Linked DNA regions of Oryzias latipes. Each later gene encodes a partner of the first gene's protein in a complex. Links are inferred from orthologs where the notes say so. Each region holds a gene or a part of one and is shown in the gene's direction. Other genes may lie near its edges.

Evidence for each region.
Region 2: ppp2ca (region 1) and pdcd10 share a complex: the UniProt entries of both Homo sapiens proteins name them as parts of the core of STRIPAK complex. The link is inferred for Oryzias latipes from reciprocal best matches to the Homo sapiens genes PPP2CA and PDCD10.
Region 3: the proteins of ppp2ca (region 1) and fam122b are in contact, whole or in part, in a cryo-EM structure (PDB 8SO0), measured with the Homo sapiens proteins. The link is inferred for Oryzias latipes from reciprocal best matches to the Homo sapiens genes PPP2CA and PABIR1. Residues at the interface, in NP_002706.1 of Homo sapiens: Arg89, Gln122, Val126, Tyr127, His191, Trp200, Pro213, Arg214, Gly215, Ala216, Leu243, Met245, Tyr265, Cys266, Arg268, Cys269; in NP_612206.5 of Homo sapiens: Asp95, Leu96, Ile97, Arg99, Glu100, Thr101, His103, Glu104, Arg105, Val107, Gln108, Met111.
Region 4: the proteins of ppp2ca (region 1) and ppp2r5d are in contact, whole or in part, in a cryo-EM structure (PDB 8U1X), measured with the Homo sapiens proteins. The link is inferred for Oryzias latipes from reciprocal best matches to the Homo sapiens genes PPP2CA and PPP2R5D. Residues at the interface, in NP_002706.1 of Homo sapiens: Arg89, Tyr91, Arg121, Gln122, Ile123, Gln125, Val126, Tyr127, Gly128, Tyr130, Asp131, Leu134, Arg135, Ala140, Trp143, His191, Trp200, Arg214, Ala216, Leu243, Met245, Tyr265, Tyr267, Arg268, Cys269, Arg302, Arg303, Asp306, Tyr307, Leu309; in NP_006236.1 of Homo sapiens: Ile80, Lys82, Asn188, Pro189, Ala192, Glu193, Phe194, Asp195, Glu198, Asp199, Glu200, Ile288, Tyr289, Glu290, Glu292, Lys332, Val333, Lys334, Lys367, Phe368, Trp369, Pro370, Lys371, Thr372, His373, Ser374, Pro375, Lys376, Ser413, Pro414.
Region 5: the proteins of ppp2ca (region 1) and serine/threonine-protein phosphatase 2A 55 kDa regulatory subunit B alpha isoform are in contact, whole or in part, in a cryo-EM structure (PDB 9C6B), measured with the Homo sapiens proteins. The link is inferred for Oryzias latipes from reciprocal best matches to the Homo sapiens genes PPP2CA and PPP2R2A. Residues at the interface, in NP_002706.1 of Homo sapiens: Arg89, Tyr91, Val126, Tyr127, Gly128, Asp131, Arg135, Cys266, Tyr267, Arg268, Arg295, Pro298, His299, Val300, Thr301, Arg302, Arg303, Thr304, Pro305, Tyr307, Phe308; in NP_002708.1 of Homo sapiens: Tyr86, Leu87, Lys88, Ser89, Ala173, Asn174, Ala175, Glu190, Asn201, Leu202, Trp203, His204, Ile207, Thr208, Asp209, Arg210, Ser211, Phe212, Asn213, Ile214, Val215, Asp216, Met256, Ala260, Leu261, Asp263.
Region 6: the proteins of ppp2ca (region 1) and ppp2r5a are in contact, whole or in part, in a cryo-EM structure (PDB 6NTS), measured with the Homo sapiens proteins. The link is inferred for Oryzias latipes from reciprocal best matches to the Homo sapiens genes PPP2CA and PPP2R5A. Residues at the interface, in NP_002706.1 of Homo sapiens: Arg121, Gln122, Gln125, Tyr130, Asp131, Leu134, Ala140, Trp143, Arg268; in NP_006234.1 of Homo sapiens: Glu146, Glu147, Glu149, Thr281, Lys283, Lys316, Phe317, Trp318, Pro319, Lys320, Thr321, Ser323, Gln324, Lys325, Ser362, Ser363, His364, Phe365, Trp407.
Region 7: the proteins of ppp2ca (region 1) and ppme1 are in contact, whole or in part, in a crystal structure (PDB 3C5W), measured with the Homo sapiens proteins. The link is inferred for Oryzias latipes from reciprocal best matches to the Homo sapiens genes PPP2CA and PPME1. Residues at the interface, in NP_002706.1 of Homo sapiens: His59, Arg89, Gln122, Val126, Tyr127, Asp202, Ile211, Ser212, Pro213, Arg214, Gly215, Ala216, Gly217, His241, Gln242, Leu243, Met245, Phe260, Tyr265, Cys266, Arg268, Cys269, Thr304, Pro305, Asp306, Tyr307, Phe308, Leu309; in NP_057231.1 of Homo sapiens: Gly84, Gly85, Met157, Asp181, Val182, Thr186, Ala187, Ala190, Ser193, Met194, Phe197, Leu198, Leu291, Trp298, Trp301, Phe302, Lys316, Val323, Asp324, Arg325, Leu326, Asp327, Lys328, Thr331, Ile332, Gln334, Met335, Gln336, Gly337, Lys338.

Annotation. Positions count from the first base shown.
Region 1 is NC_019872.2:4,047,414-4,051,232, forward strand, and holds part of ppp2ca (serine/threonine-protein phosphatase 2A catalytic subunit alpha isoform), read left to right. Parts: intron 1-1,359; coding exon 1,360-1,569; intron 1,570-1,683; coding exon 1,684-1,857; intron 1,858-2,025; coding exon 2,026-2,115; intron 2,116-2,671; coding exon 2,672-2,833; intron 2,834-3,008; coding exon 3,009-3,127; intron 3,128-3,221; coding exon 3,222-3,294; 3' UTR 3,295-3,819. UniProt on the Homo sapiens protein: Catalytic subunit of protein phosphatase 2A (PP2A), a serine/threonine phosphatase involved in the regulation of a wide variety of enzymes, signal transduction pathways, and cellular events.
Region 2 is NC_019880.2:9,011,101-9,015,506, reverse strand, and holds the start of pdcd10 (programmed cell death protein 10), read left to right. Parts: upstream 1-1,505; 5' UTR 1,506-1,635; exon of another isoform or gene 1,636-1,859; intron 1,860-3,413; 5' UTR 3,414-3,590; coding exon 3,591-3,680; intron 3,681-3,988; coding exon 3,989-4,042; intron 4,043-4,406. UniProt on the Homo sapiens protein: Promotes cell proliferation. Modulates apoptotic pathways. Increases mitogen-activated protein kinase activity and STK26 activity. Important for cell migration, and for normal structure and assembly of the Golgi complex.
Region 3 is NC_019868.2:26,644,240-26,648,058, forward strand, and holds part of fam122b (protein FAM122B), read left to right. Parts: intron 1-190; coding exon 191-255; intron 256-985; coding exon 986-1,082; intron 1,083-2,551; coding exon 2,552-2,690; 3' UTR 2,691-3,819. UniProt on the Homo sapiens protein: Acts as an inhibitor of serine/threonine-protein phosphatase 2A (PP2A) activity. Inhibits PP2A activity by blocking the substrate binding site on PPP2R2A and the active site of PPP2CA.
Region 4 is NC_019873.2:12,867,647-12,872,033, forward strand, and holds the start of ppp2r5d (serine/threonine-protein phosphatase 2A 56 kDa regulatory subunit delta isoform), read left to right. Parts: upstream 1-1,536; 5' UTR 1,537-1,835; coding exon 1,836-1,862; intron 1,863-3,043; coding exon 3,044-3,118; intron 3,119-3,832; coding exon 3,833-3,995; intron 3,996-4,084; coding exon 4,085-4,284; intron 4,285-4,360; coding exon 4,361-4,387. UniProt on the Homo sapiens protein: The B regulatory subunit might modulate substrate selectivity and catalytic activity, and might also direct the localization of the catalytic enzyme to a particular subcellular compartment.
Region 5 is NC_019870.2:24,073,805-24,078,076, reverse strand, and holds the start of serine/threonine-protein phosphatase 2A 55 kDa regulatory subunit B alpha isoform, read left to right. Parts: upstream 1-1,310; 5' UTR 1,311-1,615; coding exon 1,616-1,622; intron 1,623-3,807; coding exon 3,808-3,876; intron 3,877-4,272. UniProt on the Homo sapiens protein: Substrate-recognition subunit of protein phosphatase 2A (PP2A) that plays a key role in cell cycle by controlling mitosis entry and exit. Involved in chromosome clustering during late mitosis by mediating dephosphorylation of MKI67.
Region 6 is NC_019882.2:6,262,030-6,265,848, reverse strand, and holds part of ppp2r5a (serine/threonine-protein phosphatase 2A 56 kDa regulatory subunit alpha isoform), read left to right. Parts: intron 1-1,434; coding exon 1,435-1,631; intron 1,632-3,819. UniProt on the Homo sapiens protein: The B regulatory subunit might modulate substrate selectivity and catalytic activity, and might also direct the localization of the catalytic enzyme to a particular subcellular compartment.
Region 7 is NC_019872.2:16,425,095-16,429,527, forward strand, and holds the start of ppme1 (protein phosphatase methylesterase 1), read left to right. Parts: upstream 1-1,523; 5' UTR 1,524-1,706; coding exon 1,707-1,798; intron 1,799-2,453; coding exon 2,454-2,547; intron 2,548-3,098; coding exon 3,099-3,191; intron 3,192-3,330; coding exon 3,331-3,388; intron 3,389-3,801; coding exon 3,802-3,853; intron 3,854-4,433. UniProt on the Homo sapiens protein: Demethylates proteins that have been reversibly carboxymethylated. Demethylates PPP2CB (in vitro) and PPP2CA. Binding to PPP2CA displaces the manganese ion and inactivates the enzyme.

The DNA of each region.
Region 1 (3,819 bases):
CTTCTTACGGTACTGTTTCCCTTCAGATTACTCCCTTTGTTTTAGTGGTTTCTGTTTTAAATCATTTCCACTTGTGTTTAACTGTCAATGATCCGTTTTGGTTTTGCCCAGAGGCAACTCGGGGGTGATTGTACTCAAGTGAACTGTTACTATTACTAGCAGTAATTAGAAGAGCAGAAGAATGCAGTGAAGGCTGACCTGACCCACTTAGTTTTTCCTTTTATGTGGCTCCAAATAGTGGATTGAAAACGTGCATGCTGCTGTTCCACTTTACTGCAGACGTCTAGAATATTCCATCAGGCTTAGTCACTCAATTGCTTTGGAGGCACAAGCTCTGGTCAAGCTGCCATCCTGACTCTGGCGGCTGAAAGAGCCTGTGCCACATGGTGGTAAAGCCACAGGACGGATACGTGGAATATAGGTCAGCAGTGTGCAGCGTTGCATTGGCTGCATCGCTGCCAAGTCCCAGCCTGCCAGCCTCGTTGTTTGGTCGGAGGAGCATCGTGTAAATGCTGACAAACACCACACCTCCAGCATGGATTTTCCACATGGATACACAAAAGAGCTTTGAAGGAGCCAGTCATGCAACGTTGGTCTCTAAGAACGGGTCAAAAACCCCGGCTTCAGGGCCAGTCCTGCACATGTCCTGCCTCTTAGTTTCAGCCCTGCTTAGTCTTGGTACCAAACCTTTATTCACATAAACCTGTCAGAAATAAACTCAGAGAATAGACTCTGATTTCAGTCTCCACATTTGTTTAAATCATACGTCTATTTTTAGTTTGATTTAGGCCACCTCAGTGTAAAAGCAGCCTTACAGTCAAGGACTTGTACTTTGAACATTTGCAGAATGACTCAGACTCTGCATCCGCTGCTTTTAGACCTCTTTGTGGGAGGAAGCAATAACAGTCCAAATATACTTTTTTCCCAGCCTAAAGCTGTATTTTTCTGAGTGTTTAACAGCTATGGCCATAACACATGTAATAAGTTGAGCCCAATGAAATGACTTCTTTGTTTTTCATTTTAAAATGCTAACGATCTCTCCTAGTTTTAGCTTTAGGGGCCCCATTTTCATTTATTTCTGGTGGTATTTGAGCACAGCCAGAACTGTTTGTTCTACAGCAAGAAGGACACAAGCGCACAGCCTTAAGAAAGCATTTATGCTAGCTGCAATATCATTGACAGGAAATGCTGCATCCTGAAGGAACCATGTAGGAATTTGCCCAAACACACCTCTTGTGGATTGTAACGCATTTGCAGTGTTGCTCACTCAGATATAAACTCAAAATAATCTGCACATTTCAACGTCTTGTCTCTCTGTTATACAAGACACTATCAACTCTTTTTCTTGTTTCTTTTCAGGCAAAGGAGATTCTAACAAAGGAATCAAACGTCCAGGAAGTGAGATGTCCCGTGACGGTATGTGGTGACGTGCACGGCCAGTTCCACGACCTCATGGAGCTGTTCAAGATCGGAGGGAAGTCTCCTGACACAAACTACCTGTTCATGGGGGACTATGTGGACAGAGGGTACTACTCCGTGGAAACCGTCACTTTACTTGTAGCACTAAAAGTGAGTCATGGAAGACTTGTGACCCCTTTTTCTATTAAAAAGAAAAGGTGTTTTCAAATGACCGTTTCGTGATTGTGTTTTCAGGTGAATTAGATTTCTCTGCTTGCATTACAGGTACGATTCCGGGAGCGCATCACAATCCTCAGAGGGAACCACGAGAGCAGACAGATCACACAAGTTTACGGCTTCTATGACGAGTGCTTAAGGAAATATGGAAATGCTAACGTTTGGAAGTACTTCACAGACCTGTTTGATTACCTCCCCCTCACTGCCCTGGTAGACTCTCAGGTGAGGAACCCCTGATAGAAACCAAAACGATCACAACAGACTGGGTTGGCTCTGTCTTGCCATTTAACCTAGTAAAGGTAGTTTTAAGATGTTTGTTTTAAACTGGAAATCTTGAGAAGATTCAGAGCTAATTCTGTGGGTAAATGAACTTCTCTGTTATTTCATCAGATTTTCTGCCTTCATGGAGGCCTGTCCCCGTCCATAGATACATTGGATCACATCAGGGCTTTGGACCGTTTGCAGGAGGTGCCACATGAGGTAAAAGTCTAAACCTAAACATCTGCTGGTGGCATTTTTTCTGATAATGGAGGACATTTATCGAGAGAATTAAGAATAAAATAGCATTTCTGAATATTTCTTTATTAAAATCATTGTGAATCAGGAGCAGATGAAAAAAGGCCATTTGAAAAGGAGCCTATTTGTGGGCGGGGCCACAAGCTCTCCGCTCCGCTCCGCTCCAACACTTGTAGACGACTAGATCCATGTACGTCTTTGTTTTCCTTGTCTGAGTTGGCGTCTGGCTCAAAACTTTACGGCTCGATAAAGGACTACAGCTGCTCTGCAGAAACTGTCCTTAAAAAAAAAACACAGCTTTTTAAAATTTAGGCTAAAAACGGCATAATCATAATGAAAAGACCACTGGGAAATCTTTTAAAATAGATCCAAAAAATAATCAGAGTGGTTTTTACACCTACTGTGTTTAGTTTTTAACTACAAATAAAACGCCACCAGGATAAATAGCCTGTTGAATGTGTTTGCGGTCAGAATCGGGAGCTGGCCTGTTCCAGTTCTAACCTGTGATCTCTGTTTCCAGGGTCCCATGTGCGACCTGCTGTGGTCGGACCCTGACGACCGCGGCGGCTGGGGCATCTCTCCTCGAGGAGCAGGCTACACTTTTGGTCAGGACATATCTGAGACCTTCAACCACGCCAACCGCCTCACACTGGTCTCTCGAGCCCACCAGCTGGTCATGGAGGTGTGCATAGTTCAAAAAACCTAACTTTGACCTAACGTTGACTTTTTTTTTTTTTTTTTTACTTTTCATCTGGAAAATGTTTACTATTTTGAGCTTATTAAGACAAACAGTAGAACTTGTGTTAGTTTGTTTTGGATCATTTTCTTCCTGTAAATAACACATCTGCTCTCTTCAGGGTTACAACTGGTGCCATGAGAGGAACGTGGTGACGATATTCAGCGCTCCTAACTACTGTTATCGCTGTGGCAACCAGGCAGCTATTATGGAACTAGATGACACCCTCAAATATTCCTTGTAAGTACATAAATTAAAAACATCAGATGCAATAGTTTAAGGTGGGAATTGTAACTTTTGCACGTCTTAAAATACTTTTCCTTTCGTCCTGCAGCTTGCAGTTTGATCCTGCGCCTCGCAGAGGGGAACCCCATGTAACCCGCCGCACCCCGGACTACTTCCTGTAAACTCTAACATTAGACCCATGCGTACAGTCCAGGCCTAGAATGGCATATACGGCTGAAAATAACTCAAATGTGGAATGGGATCCTGGGACACCGCTCGGAGCATCACAGCAGTGCACATTGTATATCCACACTTAGACCTATTTAAGCATTTTTGTGTCTGTGGGTGGACCAAAGGGTGTGTGTTCCATTACCATTTTAATAATCAGTGCTGACGACTGTACTAAATATCCCCTTTCCTCTTTAAGTCAAGTGTAAATTCCTTCTTTTGTTTGCACGTAGCTGGACTAATGGCACCAATCTCCAAGATTTCATTTTTGGCACTTTGAGTCACACCAGCTTTGGCTTATATTAAGGAAAAATGCGTACGTTCTGTTTGCACTTTTGTAAATTTAAAGAAATGTAAGTTATAAAAAAAACATGAAAGATTCACACTGTTATGTTTTTTTAAATATTGCAAATCAATAAAATTCCCCTAAATCAAGCTATACATAAGGCTTTGTTGTCCTAACTTTTTAGACTGATAAA
Region 2 (4,406 bases), on another chromosome or scaffold:
TAATAAAGACATATTCTCAGAAATACAATTTTAAGCTCAATTCTCTCTATGTCCTACATCTTGAGAATAATGTTACTGGAACATGTTATAAACACCTAAAACACAATTTTGTCTTTAATAATAGATTCACTTATAAATTTGTTTGACCACATCTTAAACCAGTTTTATGCAGTGAGCTTTACATTTTTCAATGAAAGGGTTTGTCTGTGGACTCACTGCTTTCACTACCGTTTCTCAGGTTGATGAAAGTTTCCTGTTGGTTACCAGTGTGTTTCTTTTTGTGATAAAACTGTTCTTCTGCTCTTCCTCCAGAGGGCAGAATCAGATCAGCGTTCACACTCAACTGCCTGCTCCACCAAACAGTAGAGCACATTTAGAAAAATTGAGATTAAAAAACATTGTGTGAATTACTCCCCCAAGGTAATTAGCAGCAGAAAAAAACAGTTTTTTAAAAATTTGATTTTGTCTTGGTTGGATAGTTAAAGGGTTGAAAGAGTTTGATGACAACTTCTTGAACCTAATAAAAAATAGAGAAATTGTAAATAATATAAAAAATTAACACCATCATTTGGGTGGTGGAAATGGAGTGTTTTGTTTTTTTTTACTCCTTTTTAAGTAAACATGTTTAATTTTTCTTTTACTTTGGTTATAATCAGTTTTTTGCAAGTTACTTCCAAAACGTAACACATTTCTGAAGTAATGCCTTGTATTAAAAGAATTCTGGCTCAAAATCGCACTGCTTCACATGTCTCCTGAAGCATTACCTTTAAGCTTGTACCTGCACAAGCAAACCATAACAATTTAAAGTGGCATTTTAGTCTATACTTTTTTGAAAAGTATTACTACTCTAAAAAAAAGCCTTATGTACCTCTAAAAGACTAATATCCACAAATAAAATGCTACTTGAAGTAGGTTAATATGACCACCCTTAACTTACAACAACAGGTCAGGCAGATATGGATTTAAGGGGTGAAATGGACCTGACATGAAAAGGAAATAATTTTTTTAGGTCTAGTTATCCTAACAGGAAATTTGTCTCCATAATTTAATTTGAGACAAAAATGTGAAAAAGCGTACAGTGACCTACAACACCTATAGGCTACTGCTGAGGTGGCAAGTCTGTTGTAATACAAGAGTTACTAAACATTCACTGAGTGAAATGTAAAATATATTTATTGGTAATACTTTACATAACTGTTATTTTACAAAGTTGAGTGTTTGTGTAATTAAATACTTTTATTGTGAGTTACTACCAATTATGTTCATGGTATAAAATACATCCTGTTTTTTTTGGTGTGTAATTGTTATTATCATGAATTTTTTTAATTATTGTTTAAAGTATTTTATTATTGATGTTATTTTATATTCGCTTATTATTTAATTATGTGAAACCATAAAAGTACTGTTTACTCGAAAAATGATTGCAACGATTGAAACGCGAGCATTTAAATGACGTATGTTGCACAGTTTCGGTTTCCGCTCTCTGATTGGATAAATGGGCGTTTACGTAGCAATGGTCCGGAAAATGTCGTTCGGGCCAGTCCGAAGAAACTTCCGCCTCAAGTTGTAAAGAAAACACAGGAGCTAAAAGGCAATCGACGGAATAGCCAGCAGTTTAAAGAAGTCAGATCAAAGGTAGAACCAAATATCGTTTTTTTTTTACAAGTATAGGATAATTTGCGCAGCGCAGTCAGTTTGTGTAAGTGTTTAGGGCCGTTTGGGATTAAAGCTTCAATTTATTTGAGCTAGCTACGCTATTCAAAGCTAGCAGTTTGCTAATATCGATTCGATCGCTTATAGGCCTCAAGTGAATGTCTTTAAAATTAGATCGATTTACATGTGTGACTTAACACCAACAGGTAATAGTGCTGTTTTTTAAACATTGACATTACTTCGTTTTATTTAAAATACATTTCTTAATTTTATGATACGTCAGCGACTTAGCCTTTCTGATAGCTCGTTAGCACTACCACCTACTAGGGCTATCTGTATTTCGGTAGCTAGTGTTAACTGGTCAGTTTAGCTTCCAACTGAGACGAGCAGCGCTTCAGACACCATTATACGAATAAAAACTAGACCAACTTTGTCTCCTTTTGTTTAAGCATTTACACTCACCGTTTTCAGTAATATTTCATCTACGAACACTTGTCATTCTTACCTAGTCTGTGAAGTAGTTTTTTTTTTTCTAATGTGACTAGTTACTTCTTTACGTATGTTGCGTTTTAGAAACTTAGCGATAATAATATTGTTTGTCAAGTAATTAGATTTAAATTAGATTTTCAGTTAAGTTCACAGTGAGGTTTTGTTAAAAAAAAAGGAACATTATTAAAGCGTGCCACTCCCCTTAACCAAATTAAAAAAGTCAACAGGTTCTCTTACCTTTGGCGTCAAAACATAGCCTCTGTGTGGGCGGGTTAGCGTATGATTCTTTATTTTTCAGATTTTACTTTTTAGTAACTGCTATTAATCATCACAGAACAAACTACTATGTGGCACTGTAGATTTATTTGAAAAACTTTAATTTGAGTTTTATCTCTGCAGATAAAAAAAAAACATAAAACATTTTAGGTTAGGTAAGCCCCTATGTTGTTGTTTTTTGGGGGTTTAATGTAAATTCATAAGAGTAGTCTATAAATGTAGGTACAAAATTGTATTTATGAACGAATTATAGAGAATTATTTTAAATCTTAATTGAAATATCTTTAACAATAATAAAATTGGATTTAGATTTCATTATACTTTTACAATTATAATTAGCTTCTTATTTTATTAAAAACCCCAAGTACCCCCCCTGAAGTGGCACTTGGTACCTACCCCTTTGTGCTTTATGACTAATATATAGTCAGGTATTTTTTTATTTTCCTTTTCCTTTTATGGTAGACCCCTGTTATGGCATTAGTGAAACATTTACAAGCTGTAAACTAACTTGGATCATTTCTTTTTCTTTAACTTGAACAGGTCAAGTGTGACTGAAACCTAAGGCTGTCCATTCCAGCTGCTCTTTCTAATGGTAGCTGGAATGTCAGTCTATTTCCATTAAAAAAAAATCTGTTTATGGATTTTACTCTAATATTTGCGCCTTTGCACAATGTGCCAACAATGTTTTGAAATTTATATTTGAATGAATGGAGCTTGTAGATAGAAGAGCTACTTCCCCAATTAGGAGCAAGGCTAAGCAATATTCTGTTTTTCCTCTCGGTACCAAGTTCTGTAAATTATTTCGGCTCATATCTAGAAATTATTTTCTTGCGGAATTGGAACCGATGTAATTGAACAAGGACTAATATCTTTGTAAAAGTAAAACCAATGATTCACCATCAAGTTAATGGAAACCAAAAGCTGGTTTTTATAAAGATAATCAAATTTCTAACCTTCATCAATAACCGTCTATTGTTGTTTTATTTTCTTTGCAGGTCACTTGCATTCTGGAACTTGTGCGGCTTGTCCTGTGTGTGTGTATGTGTGTCTGTGTGTGTGTGTGTCTGTGTGTGTGAGTGATTGTGTGTGTATGTGAGTGGGTGTATGTGTGAGTGTGCGAGAGCTGCACTTTCTTTGTCACTAATTTAACAAGTGCTGCTCCTCCCTGGAGGATGACAATGGAGGAGATGAAGAATGAAGCGGAGACTAACTCCATGGTATCCATGACGCTGTATGCTGTGATGTTCCCAGTTTTTAATGAGGTAACATTGCCATCACAATTAAAAAATGAAAAAACATTAGTCCAAAAAATACATATTTTTTATAGAGTTTTAATTGAAGTTGACAGATGTTTCTCTTATCATAAAATCCAAATTTAGTACCTAAAGTAGAAGAATTGATATTTCTGAACTTTTTTCAAAATTTTGTAATAGTAAATGCTTCTCAAAAATTGTTTCTAATCTTTTCTCTTTTCTGTGAACGTTTTTGTTAACGCTAAGCACCGCTCTCTGTCCTGGTGTGTTTTGTTTTTTAATGGCCTGTACTTTTTTTCTTTGTTTCTTCTTTTTAGCTGGAGAGAATCAATCCATCAGCAGCTCAGACGCTCAGGGCAGCTTTCATAAAGGTGAGACCTCGTGAATCAACCAAGAGGAAATGTAAAATCATGTGATCCCACTCCTGTCATATGTATGTTGCAAAGAGTATGAATGTGTGTCATAGCAATTGGGTACAGTAATTTAAAAAAATAAATCCTATTGTTGAGTTATGCGTCTTCATGGTTGGGGAGGGCATCTGGAAATTAAATGAATGACTTCTGCTTTAAAAAAGAAAAAAGCTTTTCTGTGTTTAACTTCCTTCATGTTGAATTTAGCTTTAAAAAAAAAGAACTTGCTGAGATTTTTCACCAAAGTCATTTTTCCATTCACCTTCTTAAAAGCAACAGAAATTAATAATAATAATATTTTACATCTTTTATAATGAAAAAGGAT
Region 3 (3,819 bases), on another chromosome or scaffold:
GTAACTCTTCTTCCACTGTTTATGCAATTAACGTCATCACAGTGGATTCTCCTCTTCAGAATCCACTGTGATGATGTTAATTGAAGGAGCTCGTGTGATTTGGTGTCACCAACGACAGCTCTGGTGCTTTAAAAAAAAAAAAAAAAGGTTAAATAAAATGGCTTGATCTTGTTGGATCCGGTTTCTTCAGCAGGCGAAGTCAGAGTCCAATCAACTGCATCCGAGCCAGCATTCTGGGCCCAATGAAGCGTAAAGGTGAGACGGTTTTCCGTTCACAAAAAGTCGTGCCACGGCCTGATACCGTGCGAAATATCAAGCATTGCATTCTGGTCGTAATAATCTAAGGATAGAATCGCTATTTAAAGAATTACTTTACTTAAGTGGCTATCCTATTAGATCCACAATTCAATGTATTGTGTTTGAATGGTTGCTGGAGGTTTTTTTTTTTTATTGGACGTGTAAAAATTTGATTTAATTATCATCATTTATACCTTTTATTTGAAACAGGAGAATCAACTAAACAACCGATAAGAACACAGATCTTAAAATATATATATCTATATATATATATATATATATATATATATATATATAGATATATATATAGATAGATATATATATAGATATATATATATATATATATATATATATATATATATATATATATATATATATATATATATATATATATATATATATGTATAGATATATTTATCCACTTTAAATAAGTGTAGCACATTTGGTATGTTTGTACTGAAAATGCGACATTATTTCGTAACTTTAAAGCCATAATGACATCACCTGAATGTATTTTTACTATACTTTTCCATATTCATAAGCATTGTGTATCGGCGATCTCGGATAACAAATGTGTGTGCTGTATTTCTCCGGAACGGATCGCAGATTTCGGAGTTTTCAGTTAGAGGGAATAAACTCGGTGCAGAAGTTTTCTTGTTTCCAAACATCAGCTCTCTTTGTTTGACAGGTGAGATGGAGACGGAGAGTCAACCGAAGAGACTCTTCCAGGGCACCACCACCATGCTGTCCTCAGACGCCTCCAATCTGTCTGACCTCAGCTCCTGGTAATCGACACCAACCCGCCCGGTTCATCTGGGCTGCGGCCAAACCCAATGCCCTGGAAAATTCCCAGAAGTCTCTGCAAAAAAACTAGGCTGTTTCCGAATTCCTGCCCTAACCCCTTACTACTAAAAAACAATATAGTGTGCCCTGAATTTTAAAAGCAATTCAGACACCACGCTCACTACTTTTGTTTTTAAACGGTGGATATGACATCATGGATTCAAGAAGTTAAAATATAATAAATATGAGCATTTTGCGACGATTATTTATCGTCCACTGTCTTCTGAAGATAAAAAACTGATGGTTTATTAAAAATAATACATTTAAATAAATTGTTTGGCAAAAATTGCTACGATGCAATGCATTGTGGTTTATATTCGCCGATCTAGTGAGCATTGATGCACACTGGTTTGTCGCAAAGACTTCTGGGAAATTTCTAGGGAACTCGATTTTGGAATGGACAGCACTAGAAAATGGCAAACGCTCTATTATATTGAGTAGGGAAGGAATTCGGACACAACCCTAGTGTGCATCGATGCTCAATATAGACCACAGTGCATTGTGTATGAACAATGTGTCATTTGACGAAATGTACGTCCATTGATGTGGTATTTATCATCCACTTTTTCATCTTCAGAGTTTTGGTCAAATGTTCATATTTATTAGGTTTTTACTTCGGCGAAAAGGCGATAAGAAAGCAAGCAGGAACCGTGGGTCTAAATGTAATCAAAATCCAGGCGGCTGGAACGTCCTGCACTATGTTTTCCACACTACAAGGCATTCCGGATCGTAAGCTGGATGGTTTTGTTCCCTCGGAAACTCTTCTATGATTGGTGCAGATTACATTTCCGTACCACTGATTTATTCATGTTACAGGGCCTATATTATATCTTTGGCACATTAAAGAACACAATCTTTGTTAAATTAGTCATTTTCGCAGCCCGTTTTCCAACCCGGCTTGATCTCTGAGGCTCCGCCTTTCGCTCCGTGTGGGTGACGTCAACCTAGAGTCGGCCTCGGCGGCGTGTCGCCGCTCGAAAAGCAAACAACATCCATACTTTAGCATAGATGGTGGATAGTGTGCATATAAATTGATATATGATAATGATATGGGCCCTTTAAATTCTCTGCTTGATTCCCATGTTCCGCTGTGTGATCGATGGCCTTGAGGTTGAAATCTGTGTAAGCGAGTCTCATGACAGGCGCCATTTTTCAGTGGTTCTACTTTGGTTAAACGTTTTGACAGAGCGCCGTGTACTTCTCCAAATTACATCATAAGTAAACAGAACCAGATAGAATCTGTGTTGTTGTTTTTAGAAATAAAACAGCCATGTTCATGTTGAGGCTGATGCAACAGTCACCCTGTGGGTCGATGGGCTTCAAAGACAAAGTTGTCTCCAAAGAAGACATCTTTGTGTATTTGTTGTTTCGGTGTAAGATGTGAGATTCTCTTCTTCTTTGTCTTCTCCAGTCATTCTCCAGACCTGCTGGACGGCAGTCTGAGCAGCATCGGCTCCTCCACCGACTCCCCGGGGAAGATGGAGGGCGTGTCCCCGTCCTCCTCCAGCAACTCCCCCTTCGCCTCGCTGCAGGATCTGTCCCCGAAGTGAGGGCACCAAGAAGACGTGAAGGACAAACGGGGCCCCTCCCTCCACGCCGAGAGGGATCTAGCCCCCGCCGTTAACCGCATCCGTTCATTTCTGTGAGTTCACCCCGTTTTCCCCTCACGGCTGCTTTTCATGAAGGCGGAGCTCGTCTGAGGTTCGGAGACGCCACCCGGTGTGGGGTGGGGTGGGGGGGTCTGTGGAATGACTGAAGACACTGTGAGCACCGGCTGCTAGTTGGGGGTGTTGGATGGTGCTTTGCTTCATGCTTCTGGCTTTCCTGCACACCAGTGAGCACACAGAGCACTGGAGAAGACATTTTGGATGTGTACATTTTCCTGTTATGTGCTGGAAAAGCTTCTTTCTGTCAGAAAAAAAAATTTAACTTATTTTGGTTGTTCTTTTTTTTTTTTTGCTTTCTTTGTAATGATGTACATATATTTAGTTTTGCATCGAAACTATTTGTGGGCTACATCTATTGAGCGTTCCTGTCGTACTTTAAAAAGTGTGGAGAAAGTTTCCAGAATGTTTTTTATCAGCTGTGAATGTGTGTTGTGCTTTTTTGTTTATTGTTGTTGTTTTTTTTTAAATTTCCCATGATGCCCGACTCCCGTAACGATCTGCTGCAGATGTACAGAATGATTCCACCTCTAGGTAACCCCCCACCCTCCAGATGAAATGTGGACATTCCAGCTTCGACACTATAGCTTTCCTGTTTTGTTTTTTTCCCAGAATTCCTCTGGTGTGGACGATGAATTAGTTCCTTCTGGCAAAGTGTTCTTATTTATAAAGAAAGTAAACTTGGGTGGTGATGGATTTCTATCTCCTGTGAACAGTTTATCCATGATGATCAAACTGCTGTGACGAAAAAATAAAATATAAATATATATATATATATAGAGAGAGAGAGAGAGAGAATGGGTTTGGGGGTGGGGGTGCCATTGCATTGTGGGTAAAATACTGCTGGTGTGGTTTTGATTTAAAAAAACAAAAACAACAAAAACCCCAACTTGCTGCACAGGACGCTGCGAGTGTTTCAGTTGGCGTCTTAAAGCCAAATCATCCAAACTGTTTGATGGTGGGGGGGTTCGAGCTTTCGAGCTCGCACTGTGACATTTGCACCGTCTTCAGTCGT
Region 4 (4,387 bases), on another chromosome or scaffold:
AATAAATGGATATGCATCCATATTTAAAGATTATTAAATATACGTTAAATGTAATATTTGAAAACCTAACTTTAAAGAGTTTTTTGAAAAGGGAGTAGAAAGAAGAGAATGGATGTACAACCCCAGTCTTACAATGTATGCTTACATTTTTCCATGGTTGGTGTTCTTTAAGACAAATCTATATGGTATCTGTGCAGATGTTTATATAATTTATCAGTCCCAGTGCAGATTATTCTGACTAGCATAGTAATGATATCAAATAAATATGACAGTTTCTGGTATTATCAGAAAACATTTACTAACAATCCAAGTGCTCCCACAAATGTATATTTAGAATTTGCTCAAAATTTGATCGCCCAGTGACTTTAGAATTTCATGTATACATCTACATGGTTTTAATTTAATGTCTTTTTTTATTCATTTCTGACCTTAAATGCTTTTGACATTTTGTGCTAGATGTTTTAGAAAAATAAAGGTAATTCTTGAGAAGCATTTTTGTCATAAGCCTGCGCATTTTAGGTCACAGCTCAATATTTTCTGTTAATCCTGGATTGTGATTGGGCATTTAGGTCCGACATTTTAATTATTTTTAGTATTTTTTTCAAGTTTCAGTGCTTTGTAAGATATTTTGCCTTAAGAAATCTCATTCACCTGACCTAAACAACAGCTCAACAACTATTTCGCCATCACAAAGTTAATTACCAACAAGCTGCTTTTAGGAGCCATCATTCATTGTTTTAAAGCCTTATCTCATATCAGGAAGCTGAATGATGTAAACAGAAACAGAGCTGCTTATTTATCAAGCAATTTGAAAGTTCCTGCATCTTTTCAGTCTTTTTTTTTTTGTATTGTTTGGACAAGCTTCAACTTGTTCTCTTATTTTGTCATTTAGCAAATCCCTTCAGCATTTCCAGCAACAGCTTCTGCAAACAGCATTCACACTTGCATTATTGAAGGTAATGCAGTTTTCTAGTTTGAATAAACTAAATGTTTTTGATGTGTTTGTCACAGAATTGTGTTGAGATGAGCTCCGGTGTCTGTGGTTCTGCAGGTTCTGGAGGGCAGCTGACCAAAATGCGTCCCCTTGCTGCTGGACCAGCCAGGACTCCTCTGAGTGGTGAGTGATACAAATGGACCGGGTCAAGTGCCTTTCCTTCGCTGCAACCATCTTTGGAGTTTCTTCATTACCAGTGACGGTTCCTGGTGCGGTGGGAGGAGAGGGTTTGTCCAATAAGGCGTCACAGAAAATAACATCTATAATGTATTAAAACATTTGTAGATTCTAATCAGATGAAGTACAGTACCTGAACTGGATCCACCCTGACCCATTTTCCTTAGCTCAACTTTTTTATTGTCCCATAATAAACTTTTCTTCAGGGAAAACACTTAGCCTGAGCACTTTTTCAAATGAAAAAGAAAATAAAGTCAAATCTGGTCTACTTTTTAACAATGCTGTGGAACAGAGAATAGTCAGAAAAAAGTTTGCAAGCATTTTTCTTTTATTTGATAACATTTTTTATTTCACTGAGTCAAAACTCATTGAGATCTTCCGGTTCGGACTTGGTTCTTCTTAAAGCCAAATGCAAGGAATTTTGTTGCTGGGGAAGAACTCCCTGGCCGCCCTGCAGCCTCGCCCTGCAGACTCGCTGTACAACCGTCAGCAAATCAGAAAAATCCTCGCAATCGTCGCCAGGTAGGTGTGCAGAAATCCAGCCAATCAGCTTCGCCAATACTGGAGCAAGCGCGGGGAGCACAGACAGACCTAGTGACAGCATCTAGGTCCCGTGGAAGATCATCACGGAGCCTCGGTGGATAATATCTGCAGCGCAGACAAAATGCCAAACAAAACCAAGAAGGAGAAGGTAGGCCGGCAACTGTAGTGGTGCAGCTTAGGTGTGTTTCGTGGGGAAATATGCCGGAAAGCTGCGTGACGCGCGCGGCGGGGCTGGGTTACTGAGCAGTGGGAAGCTAGCCCGCTAGCCGAGCAGGCCTTGCTAGCAGCGGTTGGAGCCCCCCTCTTGCAGCGGTAGAGTCGTCTCCGAGACTTAAGCGCGTTCACTTTTCTGAAACTACACGGACCTCCGGGTGTTTAAGGGAAAACCGCCTACCCGCAGACTGTTAGCAGTTATCCACAGCAGAAGTTCGGGAGGAGTCGCTCATGCATGATTCCAAGATGACCCGTGGAGAGCAGAGTCTCTCTGCGCGGTCCCCCCCTCACCTGCTGCACGGGCATGGCAACAGGCTGCTGTGGAGGCGGCGGCTCGCCTCTCTCATCCAGTTTTACCTGCTTGGCATCTGCGACCGTTCAGATACTCGGAGACCGCGCCGGTAACAGGCCGGAATCCCCCCACGTCCCCTCCCCGGGTCGGTGACACGTCAAAAGTCACACGCGTGAATTTGCAGCGACTGGAACGTTGCATTGATCAGCTGGTCGATTTACGGATGAATTATGGGTTCGGGTGTCCACTTCGTTGTCCATCTGAGTGTGCGGTGCACCGTGCACGAACCCCCCCCCCCCCCCCCCCCCCTCTCGGTTGCGAGTGTCTGACTGTCCGCTGCTTACTCAGTTATTAATGAGTCACCTGAGCAAGGCAGGATTCAAACCATTGATCTTGAGTGATGAGGGGCCCCAATTCTAACAGATCACACTTTTTCAAGTTACTTTTTGAAATCGATATAACAAAAGTTAACACGGTTTTTGAGACTTGGATCTAACTACAGCAAAATGAGGAAAACATTCCAAGAAACAACTGAAGAAAACAAAAACAGCTCAAGAAAATTTCCCCTTAAGATGAACAGACGGGTAAACATGATTTACTATTATTTCCAGTTGTCATGGTCCTAAAGACTAGGAAGCTTAGTGTCTTTTAAAATATTATAGACATCTCCTAATGTGTTTTGGCGAGAGTGCACGAGCCCTTTAACCCTTAAGGGTACCGCCCCCAGCACCAGTCCCAGATGAGGCCCACCTGTAGGGAGTCATCAGTGGGACTGCAGGTGGGGGCAGCAGGAGCTTCATTTCTAGATGTCTGTGTCTCTGCAGGAAACGGGCAAATCTGCAAAGAGCAGCAAGAGCAGCAGCAGCGGGAAGGATGCCGCCTCTGAGAACTCTGATGAGGTAAGGGGCCACCAGCAGGTCTGATGAATCCAGTAAAGCTGGTCATGGGGAGAGGGGGGGGTGTTATGAGGCCCTCAGCAGGTCCTAGCTTCACACCTGACAGGCTTTTCACACCTGCTGAGAACAGACTGCCTTCTGTTTGGTTTTATCAAAAGGTTTCATGTTGATCTCGGCAGGGAGTACGTTTCTGTATGCATGACTGCCTTTGATGGATACAAATCATAAATGCTTTAATGAGCAACAAATAAATCTCAAGTCATGGAACAAAAAACAGCTGCTAAAGATCTAAACAGAAAATAAGACAGGAAAAACTTCAAATCAAAGGGAACCAGTCAAAGTCTGCCCATTTAAAAGCCTTTTAAGACGCTTTTTGAAACTGAACTGAGTCGACTACATGCAGGTGGGGGGACGGGGCATCCTGGAATCTGGGGGCTGCTGCCTCAAAGGAAGTTTGAGACGTATCCTCAGGACCATAAGAAGATTTAGCTGAAAAGTGCCTCTTCCCCTCACTTCAGGGGTCAGGTGTGTGGACCGTTGTCCCTTTAGTGGCCACCGTGATGCGTTCACAGCAGCCTGTCATCAGAGTTTTCAGGTCTGCTTGTTAAGGCAGATTGCACACATATATATGGTTTCACCGTTTTTTTGGTCTGGGGAATGTGAATGTCAGTCGGCGCTGTGTGCTCACCTGTTTGAACTTTTCAATCACTGGAGCAGGGCAACTGCAAGCGCAACAGCAACAGCACACCCCCTCCCACCCAGCTCAACAAGATCAAGTACTCTGGAGGCCCCCAGCTGGTGAAGAAGGAGCGGCGCCAGAGCTCGTCCCGCTTCAGCCTGACCAGGAACCGGGAGCTGCAGAAGCTGCCCGCCCTTAAAGGTGTCCAAAACCCTGACCAGAACCGCATAAATCTGTGGCTGAGGTTGGCCTTTAGGTGAGCTTTGTTTTCCCGTCACTTCCCTCCTCAGATGCCCCCCCTGTGGAGCGGGAGGAGCTGTTTGTGCAGAAGCTGCGTCAGTGCTGCGTGCTCTTCGACTTTGTCAGCGACCCGCTCAGCGACCTCAAGTACAAGGAAGTGAAGAGGGCGGGGCTTAACGAAATGGTGGAGTACATCACGCACAACAGTGACGTGCTGACGGAGGCCATCTACCCTGAGGCCGTCATTATGGTGAGGCGGCGGCTAGCCTGGGCAGATGTGAAGTTGTGATGAGAGCGTGCTGAACGGCTTCTCTGTGTCCCTTCAGTTTTCGATGAACCTATTCCGGACGCTG
Region 5 (4,272 bases), on another chromosome or scaffold:
CCCACAGTAAGAAATCACGTATAAAAAAAGAAAAATACAAAGCATATTCCTATTAATTAGAAACTTAAAAACATGGGGAGGAAAAAGTAAGAGCATCAGCAGATTGTATTTTTCAAATGGGTTCCAAGTTTTTAAACCTATAAATTCCTTTTGAGTTTTTAATTGATTCATCCTACTTTGCAATTTCACAAAGAAAATGGGTAAAAAGGTTTGTGATGGGTATATTTATATTTGAAAAATAATTAATAATTGTGGGGGGTTTCTGGGGGTAACGACTTCACCTTAAAAACAAATTCGATTTTGCAGATTTTGTGAACCACCTTCACATTTTTAGTAGAACCATCTGGAGGGGCAACAAAGCCAACATTACCAACAACAAAAATCTGACTTTTGAGACCAGAAAAATGTAGCTGTGTGGTCAAGGCTAAACCTTTTTTAGGTTTTAAATTTTTCTATTATATATTTTATTTAAAGTATTTAATTTGCTCAGCTAGCATATTATATTTTATACCATCAGACCAGTTCTAATTTTTAAAAACTTACTTTTTTCTGCTAATTTATCTTAAACTTTTAAACTTAGCTGTTAAATATCTTGCAGGTTAATTAAATGCAATCAAAGACGTTTTTGCAGTAAACTTAGTTTTTCTAATGTTAAGCATGAACATGCTAAAGTATAACGGAGCAGTAAAAGTATCAAACAGGTCAGTGTGACCATTGGTTTAATCCAGATGTCTGCTGACTGAAGCTCCAAAACGAATTTGGCTCTCTGGTTACAGAAAAATAAAACGTTTTTAATTTAAATAAGTAACTGTAAAGTAAAAAGAAAAAAAGCAAACTGACTTAAATGACCTCATACACAAACAGTTGAAGAACAGTACGCATTAACAGGTTGAACGAAAACGTTATGCCAGATTTTTGTGCGCCATGTACCACAGAAAATCAACTGGAGGTCAGTGAGCAAAACCAAAATTAAGGTGCACCGGATTATGAGGCCTCAGGGTGTCTTTTATTTTGAAAGGATGTCATGTCAACCTCTGTCAAAAGTTATAAACTATTTCATATTTTGAAAAATATATATTTTCTCTGTATGTTAATCTTTTTGTATGCAAAAAAAAATTATGTTTATCATAACAATAACATAAATACATATCGGTGTCCTATTTTTTCTAAACGATGAAGTCATATTTTTTGGTTCTGTTTAAGTATTAAAGGTTGCAGAGCCCTGCTTTTAGGCCTTTCTAATCTTTGACAAAACATCCGTCATGCGCGTGCACATTATAAAGAGGGTTTGGTTCACGTGCGGAAGAGACTCGAGGGGAGTTTGAAGAATTGACTTCTGGGATGCGGAGCAGCCGGCGGCAAGAGAGCGCGAGACACCAGCACCACCGCGGGGGAGTGAATGTTTCCAGGAGCAGCAAAGAGACGAGCGGGAACTCCGAACCGCGCAGTTTGACTTAAACACACACATTGTTCTGCTTTGCTCGGTGAACAGAGGCTGAGTGGAGGAGGGGGGGGAGGGAGGAAAAAAAAGTTAAGATCCCACGAATCAGCGCGTGGGAGTGGGAAGCAGGATCGTGACCAACTGACTGAGGCAAGCTCCACTGTCTGTCTCGCCATGGCAGGTAATTCGTCTGGACTGTGTTAAACGTTCTGAAAAAAAATGTTTTTTTTCATTGTTAAAACGTCGTTTCTTGGTCGTCTCTGCGTTCCGGGAGTCAGGTTTTATTCACCCACCAGTTCATTTCTGTTTTAGCTAACGATAGCTAGTTAGCCGAACTTGGCTAGTGCTAACCTAAGCTATTCACAGAACTCGACTGTCCTCGCGCAACAACAGAAACATTTGCCGGTTAAAGCTAGCTTACCAGTTACCGTTACAGCTGTTTTGCTGTTATCTACACAAATAGGTTGCATTACTAACCTGATAATGATATGCATGGCAGTTTAGCCAAATCTGTTAATAATTTTGTGGCACCGGCATGAAATAGTGTTAAGTTTTTGTAGCTAATGGCCGAGTATTTCGCTCGTACACGGAGGTTTTCTTTTGGTATACTTCTGTGCAAACCTCTTAATGGAATAACAACACACAAGGCTGCGAGTTATTAACCCAAACGTTAGGGCAAGCTCAAAGTAGCGCCACAGTTCTCAAACATGCATCGGCTAGCTTGGCAAGCCGTCATTGCTAGCTTTAGCGCAAACTTTGACATTGCTCACATGCAGGCTAGCAGGCGGGCCCACTGAGCTCTGAGGGAAATGTTCACGCAGTTTCTGCTTCAAAGGCTACAAGAGGCGCGGGATAACGACCATTTCATCTGTAGAGAATGCTCAGACTTTCTCTGCGATGTTTTTCATTCATTTGTTAGCTTTACTTTAGTAGCGAAGTATTGTGATTCCAGTGGGTGGGGGGGCCTCACCCCCCACCCCTATAGCAGACTTTGATTTTAAATTTGGTTTTAAAGGCATAGCAGAAACGTCAATCATGGAAAGTGTGGAATGCTTGCACGTCGTCCATTTTTTGAGTGACTCACATTTTTAGACAAATGCATTGCACAAGACTCCCCAATAAAACATTTGAGATATTTTGTTCCTCCAGTGAGTGTTTTGACTCTTTCTGGTGTGTATGCACAGAAATGATTGTACCTGCTTCCTTTGGGCTTGTTTATCCTACAAAATGTACTCTGTTAAAGTATGTGCTGCTACGTCAACCTGCTTTAAGGTGACTGTTGGAAACATTCGGTTTCAGTTTTGTAAGTGGCCACAATGATTGCAGTGCCAGAATTGTTCATGTATGTTGAGTTCCTCTTAAACCAGGCCTCAGCATGACCGCTGTTAACCAGCTACAAGACCTAAGATGAAGAGAACAGTCTAGCAGTTACTGACTGCACCCACTTTTATTGTAATTAAAAGATCATGTAGTTTTATAGCTGTGAGTTGACTCACTGGAACAGAACTGGTTTTGCAGGTGTAGACTGTCTCGAGTAATAGTGGTGTATCTTAATGTTTTAAGATATAGCTTATGTTATTTGCACATATTTATGTGGGACCAAACACAAAAAACTGATGGAAATTCATGTTGGCTGCATGTTTAGCGGACAGATGCACATTCCTGCATTACCGGCACAAATTTTAAGTACGGCCAAGTCTAAATGTTGTGGTTGGTCGCGTGTATTAACCTAATCCTAACCCTTCATCCGGGTCCGTGCAACCAAAGAAAAAGTCAGCTCTGGCTGCGTGTATTTTGAAAATTCTGTGTGAATGATCACTTTCTTAAAAAAGATGCTGCACAGTTTTCTACCTAAGTGGTGGTGCATGTGTGCACGTATGATCATTAAAATATTGCGGTAATGGTCAGTGGAATCATTGTTAGACCCTGGATCTCAGACAGGTCCCAACACTGATCTTTTCTGAAGTAATTCATGAATATTATTGAGCACAAGTTCTAACTGCTGCCACCAGGGAAGAGATGCAGGTCCTTCAGAGCCAGGACCAACAGACTTGAAAAAGTTTTTACCCATGCTCCATCAGGCTCCTTAATGATACTGTCAACACCCAGTCACCCTTTATGTATGGATTTGTACTTTTTTGGTTTTTAATATGATTTTCTTGCACTTTGGCATGTTGGCCACTTTCAATTCTGTCTTGCTCCTTGGCAGATGACAACGAAGTGTGTCATTCTTAAAAAGCATTTTTCACTAGGTTTAGAGCAATATTAAGTCAATAAAATCTTCTTCAGTTAAGTCATTCTGGTGTTTGAAGCAGACGGCAAGAAGAGTCACTGAAGATAATCCACTCATTTTTCTCTTCTCACAGCACCTGGAGGTGACATGCAGTGGTGCTTCTCTCAGGTGAAAGGAGCCATCGATGATGATGTCGCTGAAGGTACGAAGAACCATTTGAAATACAGTTTTGTTTAGAAAAATTAAAAATACAGGTATAACAATTTATTTTCAACAATTATTTGATTCATATCATTTGTAGTTGCGATACGAGTCATAGTGTATATTTGTTCAATTTAAATGATCCGATTTGATCAAGAATTAATGGCAAATTCATTCACATTGTCATAAAGTTGTTTTCAACATCAAAATAATAAAAAAGGAACACGATTAGAACATTCTACCACACTGAGTGGTCACATGTCTTTGCAGAACTCTGTTTCCACACGTTGGACTAGAATGATGGACTGATCATTTTTTGCTGCATCACATGTGTACTGTCTGCTGTAATGCACAAACTTATCATGGCTCAATCCAAATGGTCTTTTCCAATATTGAT
Region 6 (3,819 bases), on another chromosome or scaffold:
TTACTCAGTCATTCTATTTGTCAGAAATACCATTCTTGCTCTGCTACCTTTTTCTTTAAAAAACATGTTCTTGCTAGTCCTCGTTTTTTCGTCATATATATTTTTTCTTTATTGCAAGTCATTTAAGTACTAAACTGACCAATCGGATCCCTCAAAAGTATGTTATCTTACATTGGACTAGGGCTGCACAATATCAGGAAAACTGCGATATTGCAATGACGATGATGAACATATAGCAAAACAACCAAAAACATCATTTCCATTTCACTGCAACAGTTTAAAAATGACATTACAAATGACCAACATCTACATAGGAGACGGACATCTAATATAAAAGGCCTCCATCCCGTTGGTCTATGATGTAAAGGAGACCATTTGATTGGTGAAATACATAAAGGGATTTGTTTGTTTCGTTAAATACTTCAAGCTGCCATAAGATTGTTTTAGCATATTTAAGGTAACCATTTATTGCGATTTTCGCCGTCTTTTGCAAAATGCATATTGCACAGCGTGAAATTGCGATAACGATAAATTTGCGATATATTGTGCAGGCCTACATTGGACATTTGAAATGTTTGATGGACAGATTCTCCTTAGCCAGCTTTCGAGTGGTAGGGGTGTGGCCTTTCAACAAGCTCACTCCTGAGTGGCAAAAGTGGTTGCCGTAGAAATGTGGACCAACTTGGACCAATTGCCGTTTGCTGAAATTATCTGGCTCCAACGTGGCAACGTCTGTATTGGGGAACATTTGCGACCAAATTGACTTCTTTTCATTGGAGTGTTACACTCACTAGGTCCTGTTCTCGTATACAGTCAATGACACAAACATGTACAATAAGAATGTATTATTACTTCCTTAAAAACCTTTTCTCATTTCAAGTTAAAGTTGGTCAACAAGAGAATTTGAGATTTTATAGTAGGCCAGAAAAATGTCTAGAATTTAATTAAGCATGGATCTGAGACATTCACTTTAATGAAGACCGTTTGCTCCTCAGCGCAATAAGCTTTCGTGGACACCGTATAATTTAGTATAACCCCATCACCTTTGGAGTATCTGGTTGCTAAGCTGCTGTAAATCAGACCGAGCGTGCGGCTTCACCTCAGCTGTAGCTGCTCGCTACGGTTACACAAAGGGCGGCTGGGTTGCTGGACGGCAACATAACTGGACAGCGTGTCTGTGCGCTTTTGGACGCCTGCCAGGTCTTGTTGGGTTAAGCTTGACGACTGAAGGGCTTTGCTGTCAAAGCCAAGGCTGTTTTTTTAAGGGGGCATTGTATGTTTGGTTTTTGTGACCACTTGAAAAAAATGTTTTTCTTCTAAAAAAATTTAAAACCTAAAGGTAGCCAACTGAGTGGACTTGCCTCGTGTGTTTTGCCATTTTTGTGCCTGTCGGAAGTGAATGAATTCCTCTCTCATTTCCTCCTATTGTTCCAGACACCCCCTCTGCCGAGCAGCAGGAGCTCTTCATGCAGAAGCTTAACCAGTGCTGTGTTCTCTTCGACTTCCTGGACTCCGTGACGGACCTGAAGAGCAAGGAGATCAAGAGGGCCACGCTCAATGAGCTAGTTGAATATGTTTCAACCTACAGAGGGGTGCTGGTGGAGTCTGCATACCCGGACATCACCAATATGGTGAGCCATTCCCGTGGAAATGTCATTTCCCTTTTTAGATTCATGAAAGAAACATGACGTCCATCCAAAGGTTGCGCACAGCTGTCCAGCAGTTTGTCAGAAAAGAGTGAGAATCGTGTTTGTGTTTGGGACAAAAGTTTAGATCAGGTTGTTGATTCTTTGCCTGTTTGGAAGAGTCCGCAGAAGGTGGGGTTCAAGTCACGTTTGGTACACAAGAAGATGAATGTATTGATAGATTTTTGATATTTAAATAAGTAAAACAGGATTTTGCTGCTTGAAGTTATTTTTCTAATGCAAGTTTTATTGCAAAAATGATCATAGTTACCCTAAAATGAAAACAACTTTCATAATGATTGTATAATAATGATAATAATACAACGCACAATTTGTTTTTGTGACAGTAAAAGGGGAAAGCATTATTAAATAATGGTTGACGATTTTAACATCTGTCCGGGGACTACAGATGAAAAATAGCCTTTGGGCTAATTCTGACGCATTGCAGCCATGCTTTTAATGTGCACTGTCCTTATTAAATAAAACAAATAAATAATAAAGCCTTTTTTTTTTTACTTATCGAAAAACAACAAACAGGAAAAATGTACACCTAATAGCAAACACCAGCACACACATATTTTGCTTAAAAATATGGACAAAACAACTAAGAATTCCCAATGTTCTAACTTTTGGAACATTTTTAATTATCGATTTAGCCAATTTGATTTGTGGTTGAAGGTCATTCCATAAGCTATCTATCATGTCGTTCTAAATTTAGGTTTTCTTTAAGATTTTAAATGAAAAATATACACATTTTGTACATTATGACATTTATGATGCACGTTATACATCAAATGCCATATTTTAGTAAATCTGCGAAAAATAACTTCTTGCGATTATTTTTTTGCTTTTTCTTTGTAGGATGGAAATGACATTTATAAATGTTTTTGTATTTCCCCAATGTCATTACGATAGACCAGGCATGAAAAAAATCAAGGAACTATATAATGAATACAAGGCACTGGTATCTATGGATCAGTTAACTTCATACAGCACTTTTGTAATGTTTGTTTTCATTTAGTTAAAAGGAGATTTCCAGGAAACTTTGTTTCTGTTTCTCTTCTGATAGTAATATCATTGATTTCAAATGAAATATTTATCTCCATGGCTAAATATCATTAAAAAGGATTTTAAAATGCACATGGGCTATGATTTTCTTCATAGACCTGCATCCATCAGCTTAGTGAACATGTGAATCTAATATCGATTAGCAAGTGGATTAATACACGAGGGAGTTACACAATCGGGTGTTTTAACGAGAGGCCCAGCAGCACTCTGGAACATCTTCTTGGCCGGCGTGTTATAGATTTTGTGTTGATCGCAGGTGTCCTGAGCTGCATCGTTTCCTCCCACAGTGTAAAAGTGAGTCACTTGCAGCCTTTTAGAGCACAGCAGTCAGTGCTGCAGTGATTCAGTCCACACTAGAGATTATTATGATGGATATGAGTGAGCACTTCCTGAGCTGAGTCAAGGAGTATTTAAATGACTGACGGAGAACGTAGGTTGTTTTTCCATGCTGCACTGCACAACTATTGATTCAACCATTGTGATTTTCCTCTTTGAAATCTTAGTTGTGGGTAATTGACTGAGGTTTCTTTGAAATTTTTAAGTTATAACCGAGCATTTGAGCAGATTTGTTACTACAGGCGTTTGTGCTAAGGTATCTAGACTGTTTAGAGGCTTAAATGTTGAATTTTCCAAACTGTGGCACGCCAAAGCTTTACAATAAATGGATCTGTACTGTCCGACTCTTTTAATTGTGTAATTTGTTTGTAGCATGATGAGAAAAATAGGTGCTAAGTGACAGGAAACTGGTTCATGGCTCGGTTTCTGACAGAGTTGAGGTGAAAGTCAGCTAAAATGTCAGAAAGCCGGGCCCGTCATCCGCTGCTTAGCGTTAGAGGACAATGAAATAATGAGTTCTTTAAGTGCTGCTCCTGATTCGGCTGCAGCTTTGATCACTGGGGTTTTCAGAGGTATAAACATCAAAGTCTCTTATTTGCATCAAAGGAGATTTTGCTTCTATTAGTATGCTTTTTTTTTCTTTAAAGAAAAAGAGGTGGTTGCCCAAAGGGGGATTGAGTTTGCCTGTCAATGTAGCTCCAAATAAATTGCATAAAAAAATAGAATTTTG
Region 7 (4,433 bases), about 12 Mb from region 1:
AAGTACTGGTAAAATATTGTTGAAAGTAGTCCATGAAAGTCTGGTCCCAGTAGTCCTCTTCTCGTCAGGATGCCCTGGTTTGCACAAACCTATCTGAGCTGGCTAACCAGGTTGGCATTTGATCTGGCATGACTTATGATTAAAGCGTTCTCTAATTGGACAGCTGAAAGCTTGTTATCAAAAAATAGTTTATATGGGTCAATGGCAAACACCTTTATGTAATGTCACGTGACACTTTCTAAAGTTTAAAAGTAACATCTCCTAAGAAAACTTCTTTCTGTATACCCCCACACCTTTTTTTCACATTTAAAATTTGGTCTATGTTATAAATTCTAAGGTATCAATGTAATAACTTCACTACAATAACATACTGACGTGTTTATTGCAAACACAGACAAAGAATTCAACTATCTTGCAGTTTTTGGTGATTTATGGCTCAATGAGTTCCAAGCAGCTTTATGTTCTCCAGATAGAGCTGCCGTTCTGCACATTTATTTACTTTACATGCAGTCCAAGACAAGGTTTGTTAAAAGAACAATTTATTTTTACAATCATTCAATTCAAATAATAATTTGTGGTTGGTGATGTGATTCATAGTCGATATTGGTTAATTTTAAACGGTCCGATTTGATCTAAGTCAATGGCCTAAAATGGATCCAGGGAATCTTTAACAAAAAACTTAACCAGTGTGACTGAGTGATAAATACCTGGATACTAAACAGTGCAGGTGAAGTTTTCCAGATTCCTTGTATTTCTTGCAAGATAATCAAGTGTAAATTAAATATAAGAACAAACAAACAAGTAAACAAGAATTTAAGGTAAATCCATTCACATTTTAGTTTCCTGAAGTTCAGCCCACTATTGTTACTCCACATCAAAATAATACAAACAGAACCTCATTAGAACATTCTATCATACTGTACGGTCATATGTCTTTCCTAATTTCAAAGTGGAATGATGGACTGTATTTCTGCATTTTCCAACGTTGATTAAAATGGCATTATTTCATTTTGAAACAATGTTATGATGCTACAGGTGATTTTATTTGATTCAGTTAACAACTTCCCTTAACATATCGATCTGGTTGGATTGTAGGAGTATAAATCGATTAATAGTTACATCCCTAAATATTATCAGCTCAGTAAAGAGTGAGAGAAGGAAAGACAAAAGTTCAATTTTTGTGATTCAGAAAAAAAATACTGTTAAATATGTTGTGAAAATGCGTATAAACAAATTGTGACACATCACATCATCACTGTAATGAGTGAGGGACTAGCGTTTAATATTAACATGCCTTACAGTGTAAAAGGGAGGGAGCAGAAGAGAAAAGACTTTTCAGCCGATTACCAGTCTAATGGACGACAACTTGTTGTTTTTAAGACACGATTTTAATCATTGAGAAAAATGAATATTTTATAAAGCACAGAAAAAGCTTTGATGATTACTTGTTCATTCGTTGGAGATATGAATGTACTTTTTTTACCGCTAGGTGGCAGCACTTTCAAAAAATGAGTAGAAAACCACCTCAAAACTACGCAGAACAAGAAGAAAGACGGAAAATACAAAGAAGCCGTTAGCCTGTATGCTATAGCGATTCATCAAATGTTTGGTTAACGTCAGTACAAGTGTCAGAAACTATCTTATGCAGCAAAAGAAAGGGAAGGCTATATTAGACATCTCTTGACAGAGCGCTCTTTCCTCACAGCATGGAGAAACAGTTGCATTTAAACCTGCTGGCCTCCAGACCTCCAATGGCTGGTCCTGGTGGATTTCAGTCTGGCTCTAAAATCAAGATGGGGTGAGAAGCTAACAGTTCATAAAACGTTAAAGGGTTTTTTTATATCTACATTTGCGTGTTATTCTTCATACCTCTTGTCAAAGCCATACTGTGAACTTTTGTCTGAATAATAGCTCGCCGAAAAGCCAGACACAGCTGAAGGAAAACCAATATTTAGTTAGCATTTAGGCTAGCCTAGTTACCGCTTATAGAGTAGGCACGACCCGCCTTCTGCAGCTGCTGCAGAGGTTTTTTTATACATATAACTCCTTTGAGTTAACAAAGTCTAGCTGATGCTGTGTAGAGCTTATCGTTTTCTTTAAGAAAAAAATCAGAATATATATACGTACTTGTTATGTTCTGATCCAGGAGACCCCCGTTACGCCCACCAAAGGATAAACAAAATCTAGTTTACAATACAGTTTTACTGATTTAATCCAAAAGTGTAATTACATTCTTATGAAGATGACTCTTTCATTAACTTCGTTAAAGTGGTTCGTTTTCTGCATAAGTCGTGCCTCTAAAGGGGGCAGCTGTGTGTCAGCCAGCAGAATAGAAACAGTAATTTACTAATGGGTAATATGGAGTCAAACCACAGTTTGGAGGTACAGATAGTATGTATATTGTACATAATGATTTCCCCCTCATTTTTATTTGTATTTATATTTTTTTATAGACCTGGCCGGAAGAAAGATTTTACTCCACTGCTTTGGAGTCAGTACTTTGAAACCATGGAGGATGTTGAAGTGGAAAATGAAAATGGCAAAGATATATCCTTCCCAAAATCTCTGTTTCACAAGAATGCCGTGACGATTTTTTGTTGTTTTGATTTACGCATATCATGGAATTAAGATTCAAATGCTTTTCAAATTCTTCGTCTAGGCCAGGGATCTGCAACCTTAAGCAGTAAAGGAGCCGTTTGGGCCTGTTTCTTGCTGATCAAAATCTCATTGGAATCACAAAGTCTTATTTTGCCCTTTAGGAAAAGTTGATACTACTTTATTTTTGGCTTGAATATAGAGCAAAAATATAAAGTGAGAGTAGCTTTTTCTCAAAGTGTGAAATTTTTTCTTTTTCTTTCTTACTTTTGACAGAAGCTTGTATGACTTCCTTTCAAAATTAGACTTCCTGTGCCGAACAGGGTCATCCTATTGCAACTAATGTTCTCCTAAAAAGGTTTTAAACAACGCAACAGCATCTTTTTTGTGCAACATGAGGCTCCGGAGCCACATTGCAGACTCCTGGTCTAGGTTTTAGTTTTGCTTAGCGTTTTAATGTAGTGCTTACAGCCTTGCGTTTTGTTTTCTTGACCGCACAACACATTTTCAGAATTTACTGCAGTGGTTCACTTGGTCCTGTGCTGTTGCTGCTCCATGGAGGAGGCCATTCTGCACTTTCTTGGGCAGTGTTTACTGTGGGTATCATTACCACTGCATAATCCCCTATTCTTAAACAGTAATCGTACACCAATATAACGAGTAATAATAACAATATGTGTGTTGCAAGACTGCCCAGAATACAGATTGAAATGACCTCTGTATATGTCTCTACAGTCAGTCATATCCAACATGATTACCTGTAGGGTGGTTGCCATGGACTTGCGAGCTCATGGTAAGGAAAATACTCTGTAGGCTTTGGAACAAATGACTTTTTCCCATTTTTTAAATGTAAAATAATTTCTGTAGAACTGACATTTTTCTGCAAAAATGATGGAATAAGTTTTCCAATCATTACTCTTTAAAAAAAAAAAGAAAACTAATCTGAGATTGTCACGGTAAGATGAGAAAGCTTGGGAATCCTTTCAGGTGATTTTTAACTAACAATTTTATCCACCCTGTAGTATATTCTCCAGAAAGACTAACATTCTCATTCTCTGCAATACATTGTGAGGAATTTTAACTTTTTTTTTTTTTTTTACTCTACACAAATGTGTTTATATATAAATTTAGAACCAATGCTTTGCTTTTTTTTTTTTGTTTGGTAAGCGTAACAAGAAATTCTGAAACTCGTCTTTAAACCTGCAGGTGACACCAAAGTAAAAAATCCTGAAGACTTGTCGGCAGATACCATGGCAAAGTAAGATACCGTTTTGTAAATACTATCTCTTTTTGTCTGAAGTGGGTTTATAGTTTGTTTGTTTGTTTGTTTATTGCTGGCTTATGTCCAAGAAATATATGAAATCCTATAAACTGGCTATATATGGAGTGATTAAACTACCAAAAAAAAAAGATACGTTTTGGGTTTTTTTATGCAATTGTATTTTTCTTTCAGAGTTAGTAATGTACCAAGTTAATCTGTTTTTCTTGTAATTATGTATTTCTTGTAAACTAGTAAATGAAAAAGGGAACCAATTGTTGCCACCTGCTAGACTGCTGCTGATTTGGAGTAATATTGTTGGACACTGTCAAGAAAATGAAAGATTTTCAAAATGAAATAAAGTGTAAGGAATTAAGTACAGAAATGCAAAAGCAAAACAACAACACAATTTTTGTGTATGTCGTCTTTATTTTAAAAAATCCTTTTTGTAGCATTTATCTTTTTTGACGCTACTCTTCAGATGTCACCTCCACTTGTTAATCCCGTTTCTTCTTCTTTAACTCGTTATATTTTTAGTACATTTATGTAATCGTGCCAAATTAGTAAAATGAATGAATTT